Linked DNA regions of Mus musculus. The protein of the gene in region 2 interacts with the protein of the main gene of each other region in a pairwise test. Links are inferred from orthologs where the notes say so. Each region holds a gene or a part of one and is shown on either strand. Other genes may lie near its edges.

The links.
Region 1: the proteins of Nt5c2 (region 2) and Mob3b interact in binary tests that used the Homo sapiens proteins (3 or more experiments, as listed by UniProt). The two-hybrid records come from large-scale screens. The link is inferred for Mus musculus from reciprocal best matches to the Homo sapiens genes NT5C2 and MOB3B.
Region 3: the proteins of Nt5c2 (region 2) and Nudt18 interact in binary tests that used the Homo sapiens proteins (3 or more experiments, as listed by UniProt). The two-hybrid records come from large-scale screens. The link is inferred for Mus musculus from reciprocal best matches to the Homo sapiens genes NT5C2 and NUDT18.
Region 4: the proteins of Nt5c2 (region 2) and Nme7 interact in binary tests that used the Homo sapiens proteins (3 or more experiments, as listed by UniProt). The two-hybrid records come from large-scale screens. The link is inferred for Mus musculus from reciprocal best matches to the Homo sapiens genes NT5C2 and NME7.
Region 5: the proteins of Nt5c2 (region 2) and Fxr2 interact in binary tests that used the Homo sapiens proteins (3 or more experiments, as listed by UniProt). The two-hybrid records come from large-scale screens. The link is inferred for Mus musculus from reciprocal best matches to the Homo sapiens genes NT5C2 and FXR2.

Annotation. Positions count from the first base shown.
Region 1 is NC_000070.6:35,154,685-35,158,750, forward strand, and holds the start of Mob3b (MOB kinase activator 3B), read right to left. Parts: upstream 2,801-4,066; 5' UTR 2,568-2,800; intron 1,476-2,567; exon of another isoform or gene 823-1,475; intron 1-822. UniProt on the Homo sapiens protein: Modulates LATS1 expression in the Hippo signaling pathway which plays a pivotal role in organ size control and tumor suppression by restricting proliferation and promoting apoptosis.
Region 2 is NC_000085.6:46,959,509-46,963,744, forward strand, and holds the start of Nt5c2 (cytosolic purine 5'-nucleotidase), read right to left. Parts: upstream 2,801-4,236; 5' UTR 2,764-2,800; intron 2,435-2,763; exon of another isoform or gene 2,080-2,434; intron 1-2,079. UniProt on the Homo sapiens protein: Broad specificity cytosolic 5'-nucleotidase that catalyzes the dephosphorylation of 6-hydroxypurine nucleoside 5'-monophosphates.
Region 3 is NC_000080.6:70,576,667-70,580,623, reverse strand, and holds the start of Nudt18 (8-oxo-dGDP phosphatase NUDT18), read right to left. Parts: upstream 2,801-3,957; 5' UTR 2,676-2,800; coding exon 2,514-2,675; exon of another isoform or gene 2,117-2,513; intron 1,713-2,116; coding exon 1,499-1,712; intron 1,291-1,498; coding exon 695-1,290; 3' UTR 1-694. UniProt on the Homo sapiens protein: Mediates the hydrolysis of oxidized nucleoside diphosphate derivatives. Hydrolyzes 8-oxo-7,8-dihydroguanine (8-oxo-Gua)-containing deoxyribo- and ribonucleoside diphosphates to the monophosphates. Hydrolyzes 8-oxo-dGDP and 8-oxo-GDP with the same efficiencies.
Region 4 is NC_000067.6:164,342,172-164,345,671, forward strand, and holds part of Nme7 (nucleoside diphosphate kinase 7), read left to right. Parts: intron 1-1,042; coding exon 1,043-1,093; intron 1,094-3,047; coding exon 3,048-3,255; intron 3,256-3,500. UniProt on the Homo sapiens protein: Possesses an intrinsic kinase activity. Displays 3'-5' exonuclease activity with a preference for single-stranded DNA. Does not seem to have nucleoside diphosphate kinase activity.
Region 5 is NC_000077.6:69,631,684-69,635,770, reverse strand, and holds the start of Fxr2 (fragile X mental retardation syndrome-related protein 2), read right to left. Parts: upstream 2,801-4,087; 5' UTR 2,454-2,800; coding exon 2,373-2,453; intron 372-2,372; exon of another isoform or gene 252-371; intron 1-251. UniProt on the Homo sapiens protein: mRNA-binding protein that acts as a regulator of mRNAs translation and/or stability, and which is required for adult hippocampal neurogenesis. Specifically binds to AU-rich elements (AREs) in the 3'-UTR of target mRNAs.

The sequences.
Region 1 (4,066 bases), on a different chromosome or scaffold from region 2:
GATAACACTTAGAGTGAGTAGAGTGTAACTTCTCTTATACATTGCTGAGGAGTTGATACACTGGCATGTGTTTACTATGGACAATATCACAGTCTTCAATATCGTAACAATGTATCAACTCTACTGTGTCTCCAGAAACAATGTATTCCACGGAAATGATTGGATAAGATTGAATATATATATATTAACGAAATTGAACACCCTTATTTTCCTCTATAATGATTGTGTTTTCCTTCTTGGCTGGCCCAAGCCCTGACTTTAACTTTAATGACGCCTTCTTGTACTCCTTGAGCAAACAAAACCCAAGCAGTATTTCTTCAGCAGGTCGTTTGTTACTGTGCTGCTACTGTTAAATTTCAAAGAAATCCGAACTTGTGGGCCCTTATCATTAGAGTGTCTTGAGCACTCCAGAGAATTTGCCGTTTTTCTTTTCAGAACCCCACCGTCAAGATCTAGAAGTCACGGCGAAAGTTTCTCTATAGATCCTCTCTTGAGTTAACAGTCTCTCAAAGTACTTTAAGGTTTAAGGGCAAACTAGACCTGTGCAGAGCCCAGAACTTATAACTATCTGAAGATGGGTTGGGATGTAAGAGTGCTTGTTTAACACGCTAGGGCCCCATCCCGAGCAAGGGTGGAGTGGTGGAGAGGTGCAGAGGTCACAGGTCTCATATAAGCCTCTCTTACTCCCCTGAGTGGGAGAGGAAGGGTGCCAAAACTCAGAACTGGGGGTGGGTGGGTGGGGGAAGGATGTTTCCGCATCTCCTAGACAGTCCAAGGTTGGCAATTCCACAGGAAAAATTGGCAAAGGCAACATTTACAAACCTGGCAAGAGGCACAGGTCCCAACAGGTGTATACCATCAAACCTCCTCTAGTCGACCCTCAGGTGACAGTTCCGGTCGCTGCGGACTTTGGAAGGTGACTTTACTCTTGCCAAGATTGTTTAATAAGTAACCCACACAGGCTAACTGCTCTAGAAGCAAGCACCTAACTTATTCCAGGAAACCCGACCTGCTATAGTCCAACAGGCGCCCCCCTCTGGAGAAATAGGGGCTACCCCAAGCCACCTGTTCTCGGGCAGATGAAAACCAAAACAGTGCTCTGGCCGCATCTGCCATTTGGACTGCGTAGTCATGGCTTGCTTTTTCTGCATCGCGGCGAAAAATTTGGGTCTTAAACTTGGAGCCTTAGGTGAAGTCAGAAGCCCACGAACATTTCACAGCGAATCACGACACCACCATTTCCAGGCAAAGTCTTTAGCCTTCCCAGGTTAGCTTTAGTCTCCACTCTTTTGTGGTCAATGGCCTGCCTGCCCTTAAAATTTTGCCACCCCTGAACTTTCCGTAGAGATGAGGTGCCCTGTCTCCGGCCATCGCCCGGGTTGTGGGCCCTCCATATGCGTTTAGCTCGCCTCTGAAAGTCCTTTGGACCCTCTCGCAGATCTCCTAGCTTTCGAGAACTTTGCCTCCAATCTCTCGTTTCAGATTCGCTGGGGATAAGATCTGAGAAATGCGCCCTGGGCCACAAGCAGCCTAGGAGGCGGGCTCAGGAACAACTTTCCCTCCGCCCTCTAACCACAAGCCCCGGGTGGGGCGGCCTAGCCAGGTCCCGAACTCTGTCCTTCCCCAGCGGGGATCCCGGACTCGAGCCTGCGCAAAGGCCAGCGTGAAAGGCCCCGCGAGCGGCGAAAGGGACTTCCTTCCCCGCTGGAGCCCCACCAGATGTTAAGAGGCGCAACAATAGTGGAACCGCAGAGAAACAAAAGGCCATTCACTGGGTTACAGGAGAATGGCTCTGTCGCCCCGTCTCTGCGGGGAAGACTTGCAGAGGGTCTGAAAGGGGGCTGGAAGAAATCTGAGTGGTCTAGAGCCTCTGCCACGCTCCAGGAGGCGGGAACCGCTCTTTACCATTAACAACCCCATCCTGGGGGTCCAGTGGTGGGGAGGAGAAATGAAGGGAAAGTTTAGTTTTCACCTTCTCCGGTGCAGAAAAGGGAGGAGCAACGATCCCAGATGTTTGACAGTTGTTGGTCCAAAAGTTGAGCAAAATTTACTTATTCTTAATACCTCCCTTGATGAGGCATAGGTAGCCAGGGAGGACAAATCGAGACTGCGCTGTAGCCCTCCCTACACAGCCCCACGCCGAGCCTGCTCTGGGATCCAGGAGCGTTGCCCTGTTTAGATGCACTTTGTAAAAGTTTCTCTTCCCGCCGCTTCAGGCCGACGCGCACCCCACCCGCATCTGAGATTCAGAATGGGTCCCGGGTGAGATCTGCACCCTTTAGGGGGAGGGAGGGGGTGTATTTCAGATCAAAGCCACAGACCCCCTGGGTGGGAACTGGACTCACATTCCAGCCCGGGAAGTGCGTACCCGGAGGCAGAGGAAAGCCAAGAAGCCCGTACTGCCTAAACCAGACTCCAACCCCGGAAGCTCGCGGAGGAGGGGTGAGGACTGGGGTCCGCACGACTGATCCTCCCTAGGTGTGCCCCGCACCTCGGCCCTCCAGGACACAATCCGAAGCGGGAAGCTGCGACTGCGCCTCCACACCACTCTTGGAAGGATCTCTTACCGTGGGGTTTTAACCTTCTGCCTAGGGCCCTGCTGGTTTCCTTCACGCCGGCAGCAGTTTCTGGAGCCGGAGAAAAAGAGTGAGCTCCTCCAGCCAGAGCAGCGATGCTTGCAGATTCACGCGAGGGGTTTCTGACCAGCACGCGTGACTCCAGATGCAGCGACCACGGCTCTGGTGCGGCCCCCACATGCACCCAGCGCGCCGCGCAGCTCGCCCGGGCGCCACTGCAACTCACCGGCTCAGAGCGGAGTCCCCTGGTGGCCTTCTCTGGAAAGGCAGCTACGCGGGGGCAAGAGGAGTCCTGTTGCCCTTAGGATCCTCTAATCTCCACAAGAGCCTGAGACAATGAGCAGTCTAAGTCTCTCAACTTTGGTCCGCTGCCCAATGTAGGTAGAAAGATGTCAGAGTAGAAAAGATGCTGCTGTCCTGGTTGGTCTTTGTCAACTTGACACAACCTTGATATATTTAGGAGGGAATTTTGACTTAAAAAAAAAACCCCTCATAAAATACCCTATTAATAAGTCTGTCCAGCATTTTCTTGATTAATGACTGTGGGTTGTGCCAGCGTTGGGCAGGTAGTGCTGGTGGGTATAAGAAAGCGCCTCGCGTGGATCTACAAGCATCGCTGCTCCGGCTGGAGGAGCTTACTCTTTATCTCCTGTCCCAGAAGCTGTTGCCTGTGAGAAGGAAGCCAGCAGGGCCCTAGGTGGAAGGTTAAAATCCCATGAGAAGCAAGCCAGCGAGCAGCATTCCTCCATGGCGTCTGCTTCAGTTCCTGATTCCAGGTAACTGCCTTGAGTTCCTGTTCTTACTTCCCTTTGCGGCGGACTGTGCATAAACCACATAAGCCCTTGCCTCCTCCAGTTGCTTCTGGTCATGCTGTTTTATCACAGCCATAGACACCCCAACTGAAGTCCACAAGAGCTTTTTCCAAGGCATCCAGAAAGGGCCAAATGACTTACGCTTCTCCAAAATGTTCTGCCAGCTGTAAAATGCCGTGGACTGCCTGAAACACCTTGGAAAGCAGCATTAAACCATGACAAAAATGCGTGGAAGTCGTAACTACCTCGCCGGGTGATTATGAGTAAACCAATTATGAGACGTACTCTTAGTTCTTGGGAGGAGTCTTCAAACATGAACTGAAAGAAAAAAAAATGAGGTGGATGTGTCAACCTGCTTTTATTCTCCTATAAACATCTTGATGTGTGCCGGCTGGGTAGTATCAAATGACTTGATTAGCGATCACATTCCGTAACTTCTGCTACACGTTTGAAAGAATGAAAGTAAATTAGGTGAAATTTAGGAGATATATTTCCATACTCGACTCCTGTTAGCCTTTCCATCACAAAAGTCTCTCTATATGTGGTGCCTTACTTGGCTCACACAAATGCTTGGAAAACTCCTGCTACGGGGCCTTAGCACTTGCTATGCTCCCTGCCTGGGACAGTCTTCTTAACTGTTCAGTCACATCATGGCTCAGAGACTACCCTTTTCCCTCC
Region 2 (4,236 bases):
CTCAGGTTTGAACCTAAAAAAAAAAAAACACCTCCCCTCCCACATATTATTTTTAAAGGGGTGGTAGGGGTTCCTTTTATTCATTTTGCTCTAGCTCCAAAGAATCCAAGTCACATTATGTTGTAAAGAGCTTACCAGAACATCTGTTACTAGCTTCGTCTGGTACTACTGCCCTTAAACTGTCCGTAAGCTGTCTCCTGGCTGGAAGTACAGCTTTCACTACTCACTTGTCACTTAGCATATGCCTTGTGATAGTCAGCATCTCATGTTAGTAGATGCTGTCACAAAAGCTAAAAACATCACATCAACAAACACTTCCTGAAAGCATGTGTGCCCGCACTGCCTGCTATCCTGCATAAAGGCCTGGTATAAAGCATCCAAAAATGAAAATAAGATCAAGTCCAGTAGCAGTGTGTACTCAGCAATCATCACTAAGTAAAAACCTACATTTGAGGTCACCCGTAGTGGCTCACTTTGCAATCCAAGCTATGCAGGTCTCTGGGACCAGCCCAGAGCACAAAATGTCTGAGACCTTATCGCAAAAAAGCTAGAAAACAAAAAAGTAAAACATAAGTAAATCTCTTGGTAAGATGTCAGCAGGTTGGTTTTTGTTTTGCTTTTTGGAAAGAGTGAAGCAGTAAAGCACCCCCGCCCACCCCCTTTTTCTCAAGCCCAGGCAAGCATGGTGGCACATGCCTACAATCCCAGCGCTTTGGAGAGCTGAGGTAGGACGATCCCAAATTAGAGCCCCGCCTAAGCTACACGGCCAATTCAAGGTGCGCGGGTGGGTGCTAGGCCCTTGGAAGAGGAACCCAAAATGAGCAGCTTAAAAAGGCTCTTCCTCAAAATAAAAAAGGCCTGAACGTAGTTCAATAGTAGACTGCTTTGCCTAGCCTAAGCTTAGTCCCTAGTTCAGTCCCCAGTAGAGAGATCCTGTACACTTTTTAAAAACTATTTTTTGTTTTTGTTTTGTTTGTTGTTTTGTTTTGAGACAGAGTCTCTAGTAGTTCTGGCTGTCCTGAACTTGCTACCTAGACCAGGCTTGTCACCTGACCCTGCGTCTCCAGTGAACCACCACACCAAACTGAGAACCTACAGTTTATAGACACAGGCCAAGAAATGTGTGCACAGTACTCAGAAAACTGAAGAATTTTTAGGATAACCTGGGATGCATAGTGAAACGCAGTAACATAAACATCAACTTTTTCTAAATACCATGTTTGAGACACCAATTTCCTCATACAGCTGAGTCCCCCATAACCTGGCTCTCTTCAGGAAGACGTATGTCATCTAGTAAGGCCAGCAGGCACTCTGAGTACTCATATTTACCAAACGCTTCTGATGACTGTACTGTTTCATACGACAGAACCTTGAAGGGCATCTTATTTTACAGATTAATGCTGGCTGAGAATAATGCAACAACCAATAGTACTGAATTTGGCTTTTTGTTCATTTTTTTGGTAAGAGTGAAGCTTAAACCAGTTTTTCAAGCTCAGGCATGGTGGAACAAGCCTATTAATATCTGTTAGGGACCTGGAAGAGAAAGATCCCAAGTTCGAGGCCACTAGGGTACAGAGCCTGTTCGAGGCCTACAAACAGGTTCATATTGTAATGGAAATGCTCTTCGGAAGCAAGCCGGGAAGCATCAATCCTTGTATCAACAGCCCAGCATAACCACCTTGCCACTACGAGCACCCGCAACGATTTTATTGCAATTTTTAACCAGCTGGTTTGTTAAACTGAACCTCTAAGCCCTGATGTCTTCTCTTACATTCTTAGCCATTGATGGAAAATGCTAAGGTGACTATGTGAAAGACCTGAAGTCTTTCTGTACTCACTACGTCTACGATAAATGGCACCGTTTTAACATCCTCCCCCTACACATGACGGCCAAAGGAATTTGCATCCCTTAAGAAAAATTATAGGTCTACGGTCATTATGAAACAATGTGCGGGGGGGGGGGGGGCGCAGAGAAGTGGTGGGGAACACGCAACCGTGTTGAGTGACTAGTCATTTCAGAGTGCTCTATTAGAGCACAGCCCTCGACTACCGAGGCTGTGAAACAAATCCGACACAAACCTTCATCTAATGCTTTTAAAGGCTGCGGCCAGGCAAAGCCAACCGCTCAAAACGCTGTTCTTGTAACAGGCCCCACTTCTGCATCTCGCCCTGCAGGGCTTCGGGGGCCCCAGAAAAAAAAAGGCGAGGGACAAACCGCCTCCAAACGTCTTTAGGCGAGACTTGCAATTGATGTGAGCTTTCCAGGAAGTACTGCGCACCACAAAACTGGCTCGTGGGCCATTCCGCGGGCAGATCCAAACCCTGCCAGGCTCGCAGCCCATGAGGGGAGCCCCGCACCCGCCTCACGAGAACTGAGGCCAGGCTGCCAGCCCAGAGAGACCAGGGGAACCGAGAGCGGCGCCTGCCCGCCCACTCCGCGAGAAAGGCGGGGTCCCAGCTAGCGGACGCTGGGAAACAATGGCGCGAGCATGACGTGGGCCGGGGGCGTCGCCGCCGCGCGGGGAAGGGGCTGCGGCGGGCCGGGGGCGCCCGGGCCGGGGGCGTGCGCCACGCCGGGGCGCTGAGGCCGCGGGCGCGCGGGCAGATCTGGGCCGGGGTAGGGAGCCCTGAGGAAAGGGACGCCGGGCGGACGGCGGGGGCCGCTGGGTCGCGCGCTGGGCCGCGCATCCTCCCCAGCCTGCTCGCTCGCCGCCCGCCCGCTCCAAGCCCCCTCCCGCCCGCCGCGGGTGCCGCCGCACTCACCGGCCGCACCGCACGGCAGCAATCCTAGCGCGCAACTGCCGCAGCCGCCTCGGCGCGCGCCCTCCCCGCCCCCGCCGCCCCGGCACCGCCCCCAGCTCGCGCCCGGCCAGGGACCGGCGCTCTGTTCCTTACCCGGGCTCCGCCGCAGAAGCCGGCCGCGGCGATGCTCCCTGGCGGGCGGTCCTGTCTCAGGGCCCCTCACAGGGCTCGGGGAACTTCCCACCACAGAACTCCCAGAGCTGCTAAACTCCGAGGGTGATGCACGTTAACAACCTATCCATTTCCTAGGAATAACCACCTCTTGGCTTTTTGCCTGCTCCCCTCAGCACACTCCTGGCTGCCCCGCCCCTACCTTAGGTGACCACGCCTACTCTGCGAGAGGCTTTCCCTAAGGTGGGAAGAGTGTGTCCCTTACTCCTAGCAGCTTACTCCTAGACAAACGAACCAGAGGGTCTCCCTGGAAGACCTTGAACTCAACTCCATGATAATCATAGGGACCAGCTTTGGGGTTTATCAGAATGAGTTCAAATCCTAGTTTCACTACTTACCCAGGGAACCAACCAAGGAACCTGACTACACACAGTTGATTTATCCGAGATATTATTGATAGAATGAAACAATACAGACTCCAGGCTTAGTTCTGGATCCTAGCAAACAATAAATAGTAGTTGAATACACTGACACCCGTTACCGTACTTCACTACAAGACAGCCCACCCACTATGTCCAGAACACTGCATTCCTTAGTCTGGGCAGCTCTGGAATTCATCGCAAAGACCAAATTCTAGTCCTGGGAGCCTCGGAAAAGCAACTGATCTACTGGTTCTTCGACCTTGGACTTTGCCCAAGATCTTCCCGAGTTGGGGATATTTGATCCCTCCCATTGTTTTTCCTCTGTCCTAATTCTGAGGATCTTTGTCTTTCTCTCAGGCATTTGGCTGATTTGATTTTGATTTCCTTTAGATGGTATCATCCAAGACTAAGCCAAGTTTTGTAGTACCATCATAATCAAGGAGGACTATGGCTTCCACTTTGTAACAGCGCCTTGCATTTGTGCAGTAAAGTTCTCAGTGAACACTAAGTATGGTAGCTTGCCGGGAGTCCTAGCTTCTGGAGATGCTAGGACTAAGGCAAGAGGATTACGTGAGCCCAGAATTTGAAGTTAACCTGAGCAACATAATGAAAGAAAGAAAAAAGGGAGAGGAAGCAATGGTGAGGGGGGGGGGGGGAACAAGGAAGAAAGAGGAGGAAGGAGAAGAAAATGAAAAAGAGAAGAAAGTTCTTGGCAGACATACTACTGACTCATTACACTTGCAGTCAACCTGAACCACAGGGTGTTTTTGAAAACAGGAGGGCTCTGCTAACAGCTTCTACTTACCCTCCTGTGCCTTTCACCCTGCCTAGGTCAGCTGAGGATAAGCCCCTATTAGGCTTTTCACCTATTAGGCTTTTCAACATGGGAAAAATGGCATGT
Region 3 (3,957 bases), on a different chromosome or scaffold from region 2:
GCTCAAAGAGAAAAAGACTGGCAGAGGCCAACGTGTCATCCTCAGCTCTTTCTTGTTCCCTAGGCAGTTTCACCAGACCGAACCGTTCAACACCTGGACAGGTCTGAGCTGTGCTTTTATTAGGGGTGTGGTCACTTCAAAGTCCCACGCCCGCCCTGACAGGACAGGAACACTAAAAAGAGCCTGGGTGGGTCGAGGCTTCAGCGAGCATCGATGTCTGCCTCAGGATCCTTACATCCCTGCATAGCATCAGTGTGTACACGGTGAGGAAAGACCTGGGTGACTGTGGGTGGGACAGTGCCCCATATCCTCCCCACACAGACATTTAGGCAAGCAGGCAGGTTAAGCAATACCTTTTTACTCAGCAATGAGGACTCTGCCCTGAGGGATGCGTCCCCCATGTCCCATCCCTCTCTACATTCCTATGGGGTTGGAAGGATTGACATGCAGCCTTTTCCAAAGTGGACAAAGATGGTGCCATTTAGGGTTCAAAAAGTTCCTCACCAACTTAAAAGACAAGTACTGTGTGCCCTCAGAACTGAGCCCTTGAAAAGTGGATTCAAGACACCCTCCCTTTGGGCTCAATGTGTGGTCCCTGCCCCCTCAAAATGTGCAATGAGATCCCTGACTGCCAGCCTTTTCTCTGCCTCAGAGGGAGGGGGCAGCTCAGCTTTTGGTCCCTGCTGGAATCTCTCTATCTGCTCAGGGGGATCACAGAAGATTCCTGGAGTCTGTACAGAAGCAGTTTTTGTAAATCTTCCTCTAATACCTTCCACCAAAAGTAGTTTTCACCCCGAATCTTTGGGGGCTCGTCTTGGATTCCTGGGTTCCGAAAAGCCACGGTCACCAGCACATTCAGGCAGACACCATCCACATGGTCTCTGCCTAGGTGTTGCAACCCAAGCAACCCCTTGGTCTCCACTGCCAAACTGTGCAGAGTCAGACACTCCTGTAGGAGCCTCAAGATGGCCACCTTGATGCCGCCCCTTTGTTCCATAGGGGTAAAGCCACAGGCAGTGATGGGCAAGTGAGGTGTCCCCACCGTGCCCACCAACACCCACACCGACTGGACTGTTGTGAAGGTGGTCACCAGCCGTTGGCAGACCACACTGCAGGGGAGCTCTTGAGGCAGAATGAGAGGGTGCATGGCTTGTTGGCAGAATTTGGCGCCTAGCTCTACCAGGTGCAGAACATCATGGGCTCTAAGCGGTGTGGGCAGGGAGACCCGTGGGTACCAGCCGGCCTGGAGGGACTCAGAATCAGCATCTTTGGAAGTCTTGAGAACTCCGCCTAGGAGAGATTTGGGGGGTGGGGTGGGAAGAGGGCCAGTATGAGAAGGGTTGAGCCTGAGAGAGTAAATGGCCACCCCAACACTCCAGAGAGAGAGAGACCCCCAAAAGCTCTTAGCCCGTAGTAGGTCAATGGCCATAAGCAGAAGCCCACAGTATGGCTGGCTATGGATGAGGGACCGTGAGAAATGTCACTAGGTGGGGGATACCTGTTGGTCGAGCGAGGAACACAAAGCGGATCCAGGAGGCGCCCCTCTCCTCCACGGACAGCAGTGTCACTGGCTCACAGAGCAGCCCTGCCTCCTCCTTCACCTCCCGCTGCATGGCCTCCACGATGGTTTCTCCTGGTTCCATTCTTCCTGCAGGGAGGTACCATGTCCCCCGGCATTCCCTCTTGGCCTCCTGTATCATCAACACCTCATCCTGGGAGGGAGGGAAGTGAGACAATCTTCACTCCTACCCAGCCAGTCTGGGGGCTTCAGAAGAGTAGCCCCTACCTGGATGGCAGCCCAAAGCTCCCTTCTTGGTAGACAGACACCTTTAGGATGCTGGATCCTCAGGAGTCAGGCCCTGATATGGCTGAAAGCAGTGGCTGTCTCCGCTTTGCTGTAACTCAAACCCAGAGGGACTTCTGTTGTAGAAAGGGGCTGAGGACCTTGGGCGTTGCTCTAGGAGGCTTCCTCCTGAAGGTTGCCACCACTCCTATACTGACTCATTTATGCCACTGTCTTGCTCTTGTTCCCATGGGACTTACAAACCGCCTGTGTCAAGTCCTCAATCTAGGGTCTGAGGCTTTGAAACTTAGCTCCACCCCTATACCAACCTACCCCTTCTTGGCCAGGATTTTATAACGCTGACTTGTGCAGAAGTGATCACTAAAAAGAACTCTCACAGGATCGGAGGCCTGCATGTAAGCTCCCCATTACTCTCCCGAGGCGCCGGGAGAGTCTAGACTCCTGGAAAGGAAGGGGGCATATTACAGGCCTCTCCTGGTGGGGGGCGAGGTCTAGTGGATGAGATAAACCGCCCCGGGACCTCGGCTTCTCCTTCCATATTATAGAGTCTACAGAAGGACGATCTCAGCTCAGCTGCTAGTGTTGAGAGTGCTTTGCAACATTGGGAAGCGCCACATACAGGCAGCGGCCGTTGGCTCGCCTGTTCAGATCAGGGCAGGCGGCACGCTCCCGAGACCAGCCGAAGGCCAGCGGCCGGTCGGACGCTCACCTGCTCGTTGAGGAACACGGCCAGCACCACGTAGCAGACATTCTTCCGCAGCCGCACGGGAAACAGCGGCTTCCCAGCCGGCTCCGAGTCACAGCTCTGCACCAGCAACCCCTTTCCCCCCAGCACGGTGGCAAGCGCCCCTGCCAGGCCCTCCGTGGCCATCAAGTCTCCGGGGAGGTGGCAAGCCGGGACCTGCCAGACCCCCGGAGGCAAGCGGCCGGGACCTGAGCTGCGGTGGGCCGCGGCGCCCTCGCCCCCTCCCCTGACTTGAGGGCCAAGACTAACACGGAACCTCCGGGAGAGACCTGGTCGCTGATAGGCTGCGCGTCACTGCGGCCTGCCCGGATTGGCCAGCTCGCAGCGGTTATCGGGAGGGCGGGGCGCCGGGATCCTCCCTCTGCCCCCTCCTCTCCTGGGTTTCAGCCTCACTTCACACTCTCCCTAGCGATTAGCTAATTCACCCAGCACGCACTTGTCCGCGCGGGTTCCGACGGTGATGTCATCCTGCCTGTAGGGTGATGAACACCACTGTGACCAGGGTCGATGGCGTCACTCGTCCGATGACATTACGGAAGCCCAGACTCCGCCGTTCGCTCCCACTGTCCAGCTTTTATCATAAACGAACCACAGAAGTGCTCACGACGAATAGGCCCCAAATAACTTTCTGACTTCGTTAAAATGCTCTGAATGTGGTATGGCTCAGGCACATAACGTTGCGTTAGAAATTCTGATCTGTCTAGGTCGATGGACACAGGGCATTTTAAGAGTCCGAGGCTAAAGGATTGGTTTGGGGGTGGGGTGGGGGATGGGGAACGTGATTGACAAGCCTCAGAGGAGGGATGGGACAGGTGGTCAAGGTGGGACAAGGCTGGGGATGAGAAGAAGCTAAGGGGGGGGGGGATGAATGAAAGGGAGATTGAAGTCAGCACTGTAGCCTGCATCCGATCCTGTGCCCAATGCTTTTCCCAGGCTTCTGAAACAGACTCCATCTTTAGAGGGCAGGGGTGGTGCCCTCCTACCCAGCGTCCAGGGCCTGGTCATGAGGAACAGGGTGTGGGTTGTTTTGGCCAGCTCCTGCTTCTCTCCCAGCCTGACCTTTCTTCCTCTGAGCTTCTTTAACCTCCACTCAGGACAGGAAGGCAGGGCCAGCTGAGAGGAATCCACAAAGCAGGCCAAGTCTGGGCTCCTCACCCCATCCCAGACTTCCCTTTCCTCCCCCACTGCTGGCTCTGTGTACCTCCTTTGGGGGACAGTGGCTTGATGGTACTGACAAAGCTCTGGAGTTTAAAAGCCAGACATCCAGCCTCTGCTGACTGACGTGCTCTGTGCCCTGGGTGGCCTCAATGTCCTCATCTGTACAGTAGGTCTGTAACAGCCCTCCTTTTCCATACTTGTTGAGAAGCCAAGAGAGCTTGGGAGAAGCCATGCACTATCTGAACACCGT
Region 4 (3,500 bases), on a different chromosome or scaffold from region 2:
TTTAAAAGTTTAAAAGGGTTTTTGCTAGTGAACACTTAGTTTATTTGCAATTTTAAAAAATAGTTGAAGGGCTGAAGAGATGGCTTAGCAGAGAAAAGCACTGGTTGCTCTTCCAGAGGAGCCCAGTTCGGTTCCCAGTACCCACAAGGAGGTAGATAACCATCTGTAACTCTAGGGGATCTGGCACCCTCCTCTGGAGACAGCAGGTACTGCATGCATGTGCTAAAGAGACGTGCAGGCTAAACCCTCTACATTTAAAATACATTAACATTTAAAAGATTAGTTGGTGTTTATATATAGTTGTTACATAACATAAAATCTTTTCAATCCAGTAAGAAATCTGCACAGTTAGGATTTTGGTCGGGGAGAAGAAAGCTTTTATTAGATCTTTAAGCTTACCAGTTTAGATTATAGTATCTTTTTATTGTCTCTATAGATACTTTTAGTGGAAATGTAGATTTTAATATGTATAATTTGTGAAGCAATTAAAAATACAAATATGTAGATCTTTTCCTTGAATATATCTAGCTAAGAACTAAGCAACAACTAGTAAGTTAAAAACTACAGGGCTTGAGATGTCGCTCAAGAGAAGAGTCCCTCCTAGCATGGGTGAGGTCCCAGGTTTATCCCAGCAAATGACAAAAATAAAATAAACTGGAGCCTAAATTTGAAAGCTTAAAATTAATTCTAATTTTTGAATTAGAAGCTGTCCATTTTTTTATGTGACTTGTTTAGATTTTAAGTAACAAACACTCTTACTGATCTGATATCTAACATTGTATTAACAATAGAATGAGATGCTAGTAGAATGGAAGACAGGTGAAGTGTAACATTAATAAAAAAAGTAAAAATATCCTCTTACTTTAATTTTATATCTTTCCATATGTAGGATCATTACTTGGGATATGCTATTTAGTGGAAAGAACATTAATTAGTTTATATATAGATCATGTGTGTGTGCTTTAATCTTTATTTTAGTTTATGAATATAAGCTAAAATATTTTTATAAATTTTAACTGTTTGTATTTTTATTATCTTATAGGAAAGAAGCAGCGGACTTTCATGTAGACCATCACTCAAGACCTTTTTATAAGTAGGTACTCAGCTTGGGGACTAAAATTATTTTCTTTATACTTTTAATAGATAAGACTTTTTATATCCACCACTCAATACTTGAACCTTTAATCAGAAACAAATGGGTGACCTATTTGTTTTAAGAAACATCTCTTTTATATCTCATTGAATTAAAAGACCATGCTTGTAATTATATTTTATGTTGGCAATTTTGTTGTGCTTTTAAGGCCTTTATTTTTATATCTAGTATGGACAAAGCAGTAGTCACAAAACTAAATAAGGATATGTGTTTTGTTTCATTGGCAATGACTAATCATATATGTTAGAAACTGAAATCTATTCTAAGAATTTGGATGTAATTAAAGTGAAATGTGCATACTCACTGTCATGGACAAAGGAATGACAAATTCTAATAAAGACAATGAAATATTAGCCAATCTGCTACAGTAGACATTTTATTTGATATCATACATAGAAGAATAACTTTTAAAAAAGAAATATTTATAACAAAATTATTGTATATCATATCTTGTGAACTACCATATATTATAAAATGTTCCTAAACTTTGTTAGCATTATCATATACATTTGTTTGGCAATTATTCTTTGTTTTAGATTCTTTGTATGCTTTTATAATACTAAATTACAGCTCTTAGTTTAATATTGTCTATATAATTCATATGCAGAAAGTTTCAATGAATAAATTAGCTGGTTCTGTGGCACTGAGACTTAACAAATGACTAGCTAGAGAAACTGGAAGTCAGTCATGATCAGTATCTTCTCAGTAGCCCACCATTCCCTTAGTTGTCACATGCCACATTAGAGAATTCTGTGTTAATTGGATACTAGATTAGATTGTTTGAGGTTGGATCTTATTTTATGGCTTAGATTTTGACATGTGGATAATATTGATAATTAAATTCCTTCCTTCCTCCTTTCCTTCCTTCCTTCCTTCCTTCCTCCCTTCCTCCCTTCCTCCCTTCCTTCTTTCCTTCTTTCCTTCGTTCTCTTTTCTTCTTTTTGTTTGGTTTTGGTTTTGGCTGCTAAAGCCTAGCAGAAGTTTGAGGAGGTCTTGTCCTCTTAGCACTGTGGCTGTAGATACTTCCTTTTACATGCTATTTCTTGGAAATGCTCTACTACGTGAACTGCAGAGATTAGTGAAGGGCTCAGAAGCTTGTATTCCATGCAGCCCTAAGGCAATAGGCATGGGAAGGCCCGTACACTGCCTTCCTTTCTCTGAGAAGGCCCTGTCCTCTCTCTGGTTTGCCTCTCCTTTAGAAGGTAAGAGGCAGGACGTCACTTTATTTCGAGTTAAATTTATCGTTGCATCGCGTGCACATGAAGAAATAGGAAAAGAGAATGAAGCGTCAGCTTTCATTTCCAGGGAACTGGGACTCAGACATAAACTTCAATAAAAGCCGTGCGTCTGGTCCACCCCTTAGATATCATTACCCAGGCAGGTTTCCTCCTAACGAAGGCCTGTTTTTGAAGGCCTGTTGCCATTCTTTTTCTTTATCACACTGACTTAGAGTTGTCACTCTCTGCATTGCAGTAGTTACACACAACAGAATTAACTAAGTCCTTCTTGAGAATGTTACGAAATACCATGCTTGTCACTGCTGTTATAACATTCTCCCTGACTGCTGTGGTAAACTGTTAGGAAACTAAAATGGAATCAGCTTTGTCCTTCTTAGAGTAGTGGGGAATATCAGATCAGCCATGTGCATTTTACGTTGGCATAATCATCCAAATTCAACAAGTGTCTCCTTCCCTTCCAAACAGAAGTGACCTTGTCATATCTTCTGTAATGATTTTGTAGCAAACTCAGTCTCTGTAAGGCACTCCCCTTTTCCCAGAAACGGATCCCAAGCAGGCCAGTCCTCGAGCTTACTGATGTCCTAACATGTCTTCGTAGTCTAGCAGGTGTCTAGATTGTAGTAGAGAAGTAACTCGGGCTTTCCCCTGCTTCCCAGCGAACTGATCCAGTTTATCACAAGTGGGCCTGTTATTGCCATGGAGATCTTAAGAGATGACGCGATCTGTGAGTGGAAAAGGTTGCTTGGACCCGCAAACTCTGGGCTATCACGGACAGATGCCCCCGGAAGCATCCGAGCCCTCTTTGGGACAGATGGCGTGAGAAATGCAGCTCACGGCCCTGATACTTTTGCATCTGCTGCCAGAGTAAGTTGGTTTTGAGAAATATTTTCCTTCTGTTTTATTTGGGAATTTTTTGTGTGTGTCAAAGTAAAACGTTTCTCCTGCTGAGGACTTTGGGAGGTTTTGAACAGCTAATGTAGTAGTGGGAAACACCTGGTGACGGTTTTCTAGGATCAAATAGGGATTCAAAGCCATGCCCCCTTTTAAAATTAGTCCTGTTGGTTGCTGTTGTTGAGTGCAGTTTTCTCAAAATCTGACATTTGTTGCCA
Region 5 (4,087 bases), on a different chromosome or scaffold from region 2:
TTGGATACCCATATGTGTAACAGAATTCATGTCCCAGCCCAACCATGTCATACAGTTAATTGGAACTGAGCACTCATCTGTCCCAGCTGTGCATGGCTCCTGAGCTTCCTTAAACCAAATGCAAATATCTTATCTTGATCTCATACTCAATTTAAGAACCACTTTTCAAACTAAGAGTAGTTGTGGATGCTTTTAATCCCAGCACTCAACAAAGGCAGACCTATCCCACAGAGTTTGAGTTCAGGGCAGCCACGGCTACATAGAGAAATCCTGTACCCAGAAATCGAACGGGGGTGGGTGTGTGTGTAGGTGTGTGTGTGTGTATGTATGTATATACACACACACACCTACACACAGCTTTTTTGGAATTTTTAACATTTTGATGTTAGAAGGATACAGATGAAGACTAACATATCGAGGAAAAGAGAGCATAATAAAGAGTACTTTTTGGGTTTGTTTGGGTTGTTTTAGACTGGATTCCATTCCCCATGCTGGTTTTGAACTTCAACAATCCTACTTTAGCCTTCTAAGTACTAGGGTTAGAGTATGTACCACCATACCCAGCCTGAGGAGACTGTTTTAACAAAGGTAATACAAATGTGGGTGAAATAGATATTAAAACATTAATGTGTCCTCTCAGAAGCCAAAAGAATTAAAGACTTTTGCTACAGAAAACAGAAATGTTAGAGACACTGTTCTGGTCTGAAGAAAAAGTACCAAGAGTTAGGAAAGTGACAGAATCAGCTAGGAGCCTTCTTCAGCTATACACAGACTAGACAGGTAGACATCATCAAGGATACACAGGAATACAGAAATACCAAGCTAAAAAGACCGAGACTTAGTTGAGAAGCTGCATTAAAGCTAATAGGTATGTGCACCCATAGGCACTGGGTAAAGAACTTGATCAGAAAAGGGAAAAAAATGGCCTGGCCTTTATAATGGATAACTAGCATATCAGTTGAAGTGAGGGTAGGAACCATCTACAGGGGTAGGGCAAACCTAAGTCTTTTTTCAGCTACAAAAAAGATACAATTTCATAGTAGAGTCAGAGAAAGTTATTTCCAAGGGCATAAGAAAGTAGAAGTTCTACTAGGGTAGGGGGACAGACAACCTGAGGAAACCTGAAGAAAAAGGGGCTCTTCTCACCCATCTCATGCTATGGAAATTCCTCTTTCTCTCCAGGATGAAGAGTAAGAGAGGGACCAAACGTGTCCGGGACAATTCCACTCATAAAAGTCAAAAGATGTTCAGAACCCCACTGATCAGAAGAAGAAAATATCTGGGGCGTGGGATCCAGAATAGACTCAGGACAGATACAGAAGATGGGGTGGGTGGTGGATAGAAAGAAGGAAAAAACAAAAGTCTGGTCTGGCATGGTGGCTCAACCAGTAACGCCAGAGCTGTAATCCTAGGCTGAGGAAGAGTTCAAGTGCAGCCAGGGAGGGGATCTTGTCCCAACCACACCCCTTAAAAAAGTTCACAGGAATCAAATCTTAGGCAAAGAAAAAGCTGATTAAAGAAGCAATTCTGAAAGATACTTTTTTTCTTTCCAGAAGGATTGTCAACAAGCAGAAATCTGTTAGAATAAGAACTTGTTGAGATGGCCTTTGAGAGACAGTGAAGCTTAAACTTACCAAGAAGATAGAGGAATGACCTAAATATATCTAGAGTCAAAGAGATAAGCGTGAATCCATCCCTCATAGGTGATTTTGGAATATAGGTGTGGTGGGTGACAAACTTGTCCAACAAATCCACTTTATGGCTGGCTGATAAAAACCTGAGGCCAAAGATGCTAATGCTAAATAACACAGATGGGTTTTGACCATTTCTTGTCAGCCTGGGAACAGGAATTTAAGACCAAAAGTTGAGCAAATGGTCTAGAGCCAGTAGGCAGAAGGCTCCCTGAAGACCTAATGTGGGACAGTGGACCTTCCCAAGGGGGTCATGTAGGAAAAGAATGCGAATCCTCCATGTGCTTGGGCTGCAGGGGTGATGTGATTAAAAGCTGAAGTATCGCCTACACTAAAAAAAAAAAAAAAAAAAAAAAAAAAAAAAAAAAAAAAAAACAAGAAAAGTCGATTAGAAGCTAGGAAAAGGGCTTTCTCCAAAGGGACCCGGGGCTCCCATCCCCGCACAGGAATGACCTGATGGCCATGTTTTCAGCTGATAAAAGCAGGTGTAACAGCGAGCTCAAAATAAAAGCACGAGGGTTAACTCCCACGATCGCCACGGGAGGGTTTCGAGTGGGAACGTGGGTCGAAGGTTCTAAGGGTCAAGACCAAGCTCCAGAAACTCGATCCCGCTCCACTCTTCCCTGCCTCGGCTGGGGGAGGGGGCTAAGGAGGGTGGCCCGGGTCGACGCGCCGTCTCACCTTGTAGAAGGCCCCGTTGGAGCCCCGCACCTCGACGGGCAGTCCCGGCTCCACATCCCCCCCAGAGGCCAGGCCGCCCATGGCGCCGCCACCACCTCCGACTGGCCCGGCAGCAGCTGAAACAGAGCCCTGAGTGCGGGCCGGGCCGGGTCCCCGGCGTCTCCCTGGAGGAGGAGCCGGAGGGGGAGCCGCGGGGGGCGGGAGCCGGGCCGGCCCCACGGCGGCCCTGCTACAGCCGACGAGCAGGGGGCCGGGGCCGGGCCGCTCCCCGTCCGCCGCCGCCGCCGCTGCCTTGGTCTCCGCCACCGTGAGGGAAACGGCCGCCGCCGCCGCCGCCGCCTTCGTCACCTCAGCTTCCGCCCGCCGGCGCCCCCGCTGCTGCCTCGGTCCCGGGACCCGCCGCTGCCGCTCCACGGCCTCCACCTCCCCCTGCTGCCGCCGCCTACTGCGCAGGCGCACAGGGCACCCGCCCGCCGCGCGCGGAGCCGGAGGGCCAAGGCGCAGGCGTCTAGGCTAGCGACCCAGCTCCCGCTCGCCAGCGCGTCAGGGCTTCCACATTCTCTTGCACTCTCTCACGCCCCCTCCTGGTCGCCTCTCTGCGCTTGCGCAGAACGAGGCGAACGCTCTCTGTACCACTCCAACCTTCCACTGTCCCTGTCCCTTCCTTTCCCCGCCCCACAACACTGGAAGCAAACCAATCAAAGGGAGAGGGGGGCCGCGCTCGCTGCATCGGATTGGACTTCCGCCTCCACAAAGTGAGCCCCATGGAGCCTGGGCAATTTAGGGATGGGCATGCGCCCGAATGACTGCTTGGTCACTTTCACCACCTTTGTCTTTCTTGGTGCGCACACTCCAAAAAGGGGGGGGGGGGGGGAACCAAAAGGCAAAAACTGCCCAGTGCGCAGGCGCTGGGCTTTGGTGTCCATGCGCATGTGTTGACTCTCTGCATCCATAGGAGAATCAAGAGTCACTGTTGTTGGCTTAAGTAGACTTTTTTTTTTTTTTTTTTTTTTTTTTTTTTTAAGTTTTGTGAGACAGGGTCTCTTGTGTCCTAGGCTGACCATGAACTAACTAGGTAGTGGGGGAATGACCTTGAATAGGTCCTCCAACCTCCACCTCCCAAGTGCAAAAATTACAGCCATGTCATTACCATGCTTGCCCTAAGTTGACTAGTATTCTAGTAAATTTAGTGCCGTATGAAAAACAAAATGCCACATAACTTGATGCATAAATTCTGAGGGGATTCAATACAGGAAAAACTGTCATGGAGTAACAAAAGAGAGAGAGAGAGATGGCTCGAATACGAAGCTTAACGGGAATTGTATTCCTAGACCACAAAATGGAAGGAGATATCCTCCTGCAAGTTGTCTCCTGAACATCATACATATAACATCACTCGTGGTCACCCACACGTATAACAGATTTTTTTTTTTTTTTTGTAAAAATAAGGGGTGTGAGGTGGAGAGATGGCTCAGTGGTTAAGAGCACTGACTACTCTTCCAGAGGTATTGAGTTAAATTCCCAGCAACCCCATGGTGGCTCACAATCATCTATAATGGGAACTGGTACCCTATTCTGGTGTATTTGAAAACAGCAATAGTGTACTCATATACATTAAATAAATACTTAACAAAATAAAATAGGATCAGTGTTCAAACTACAGGTTGTGTCGTCAAGATTTAAGCTGCCACCACAATGATTGAGGCTGCTAACAA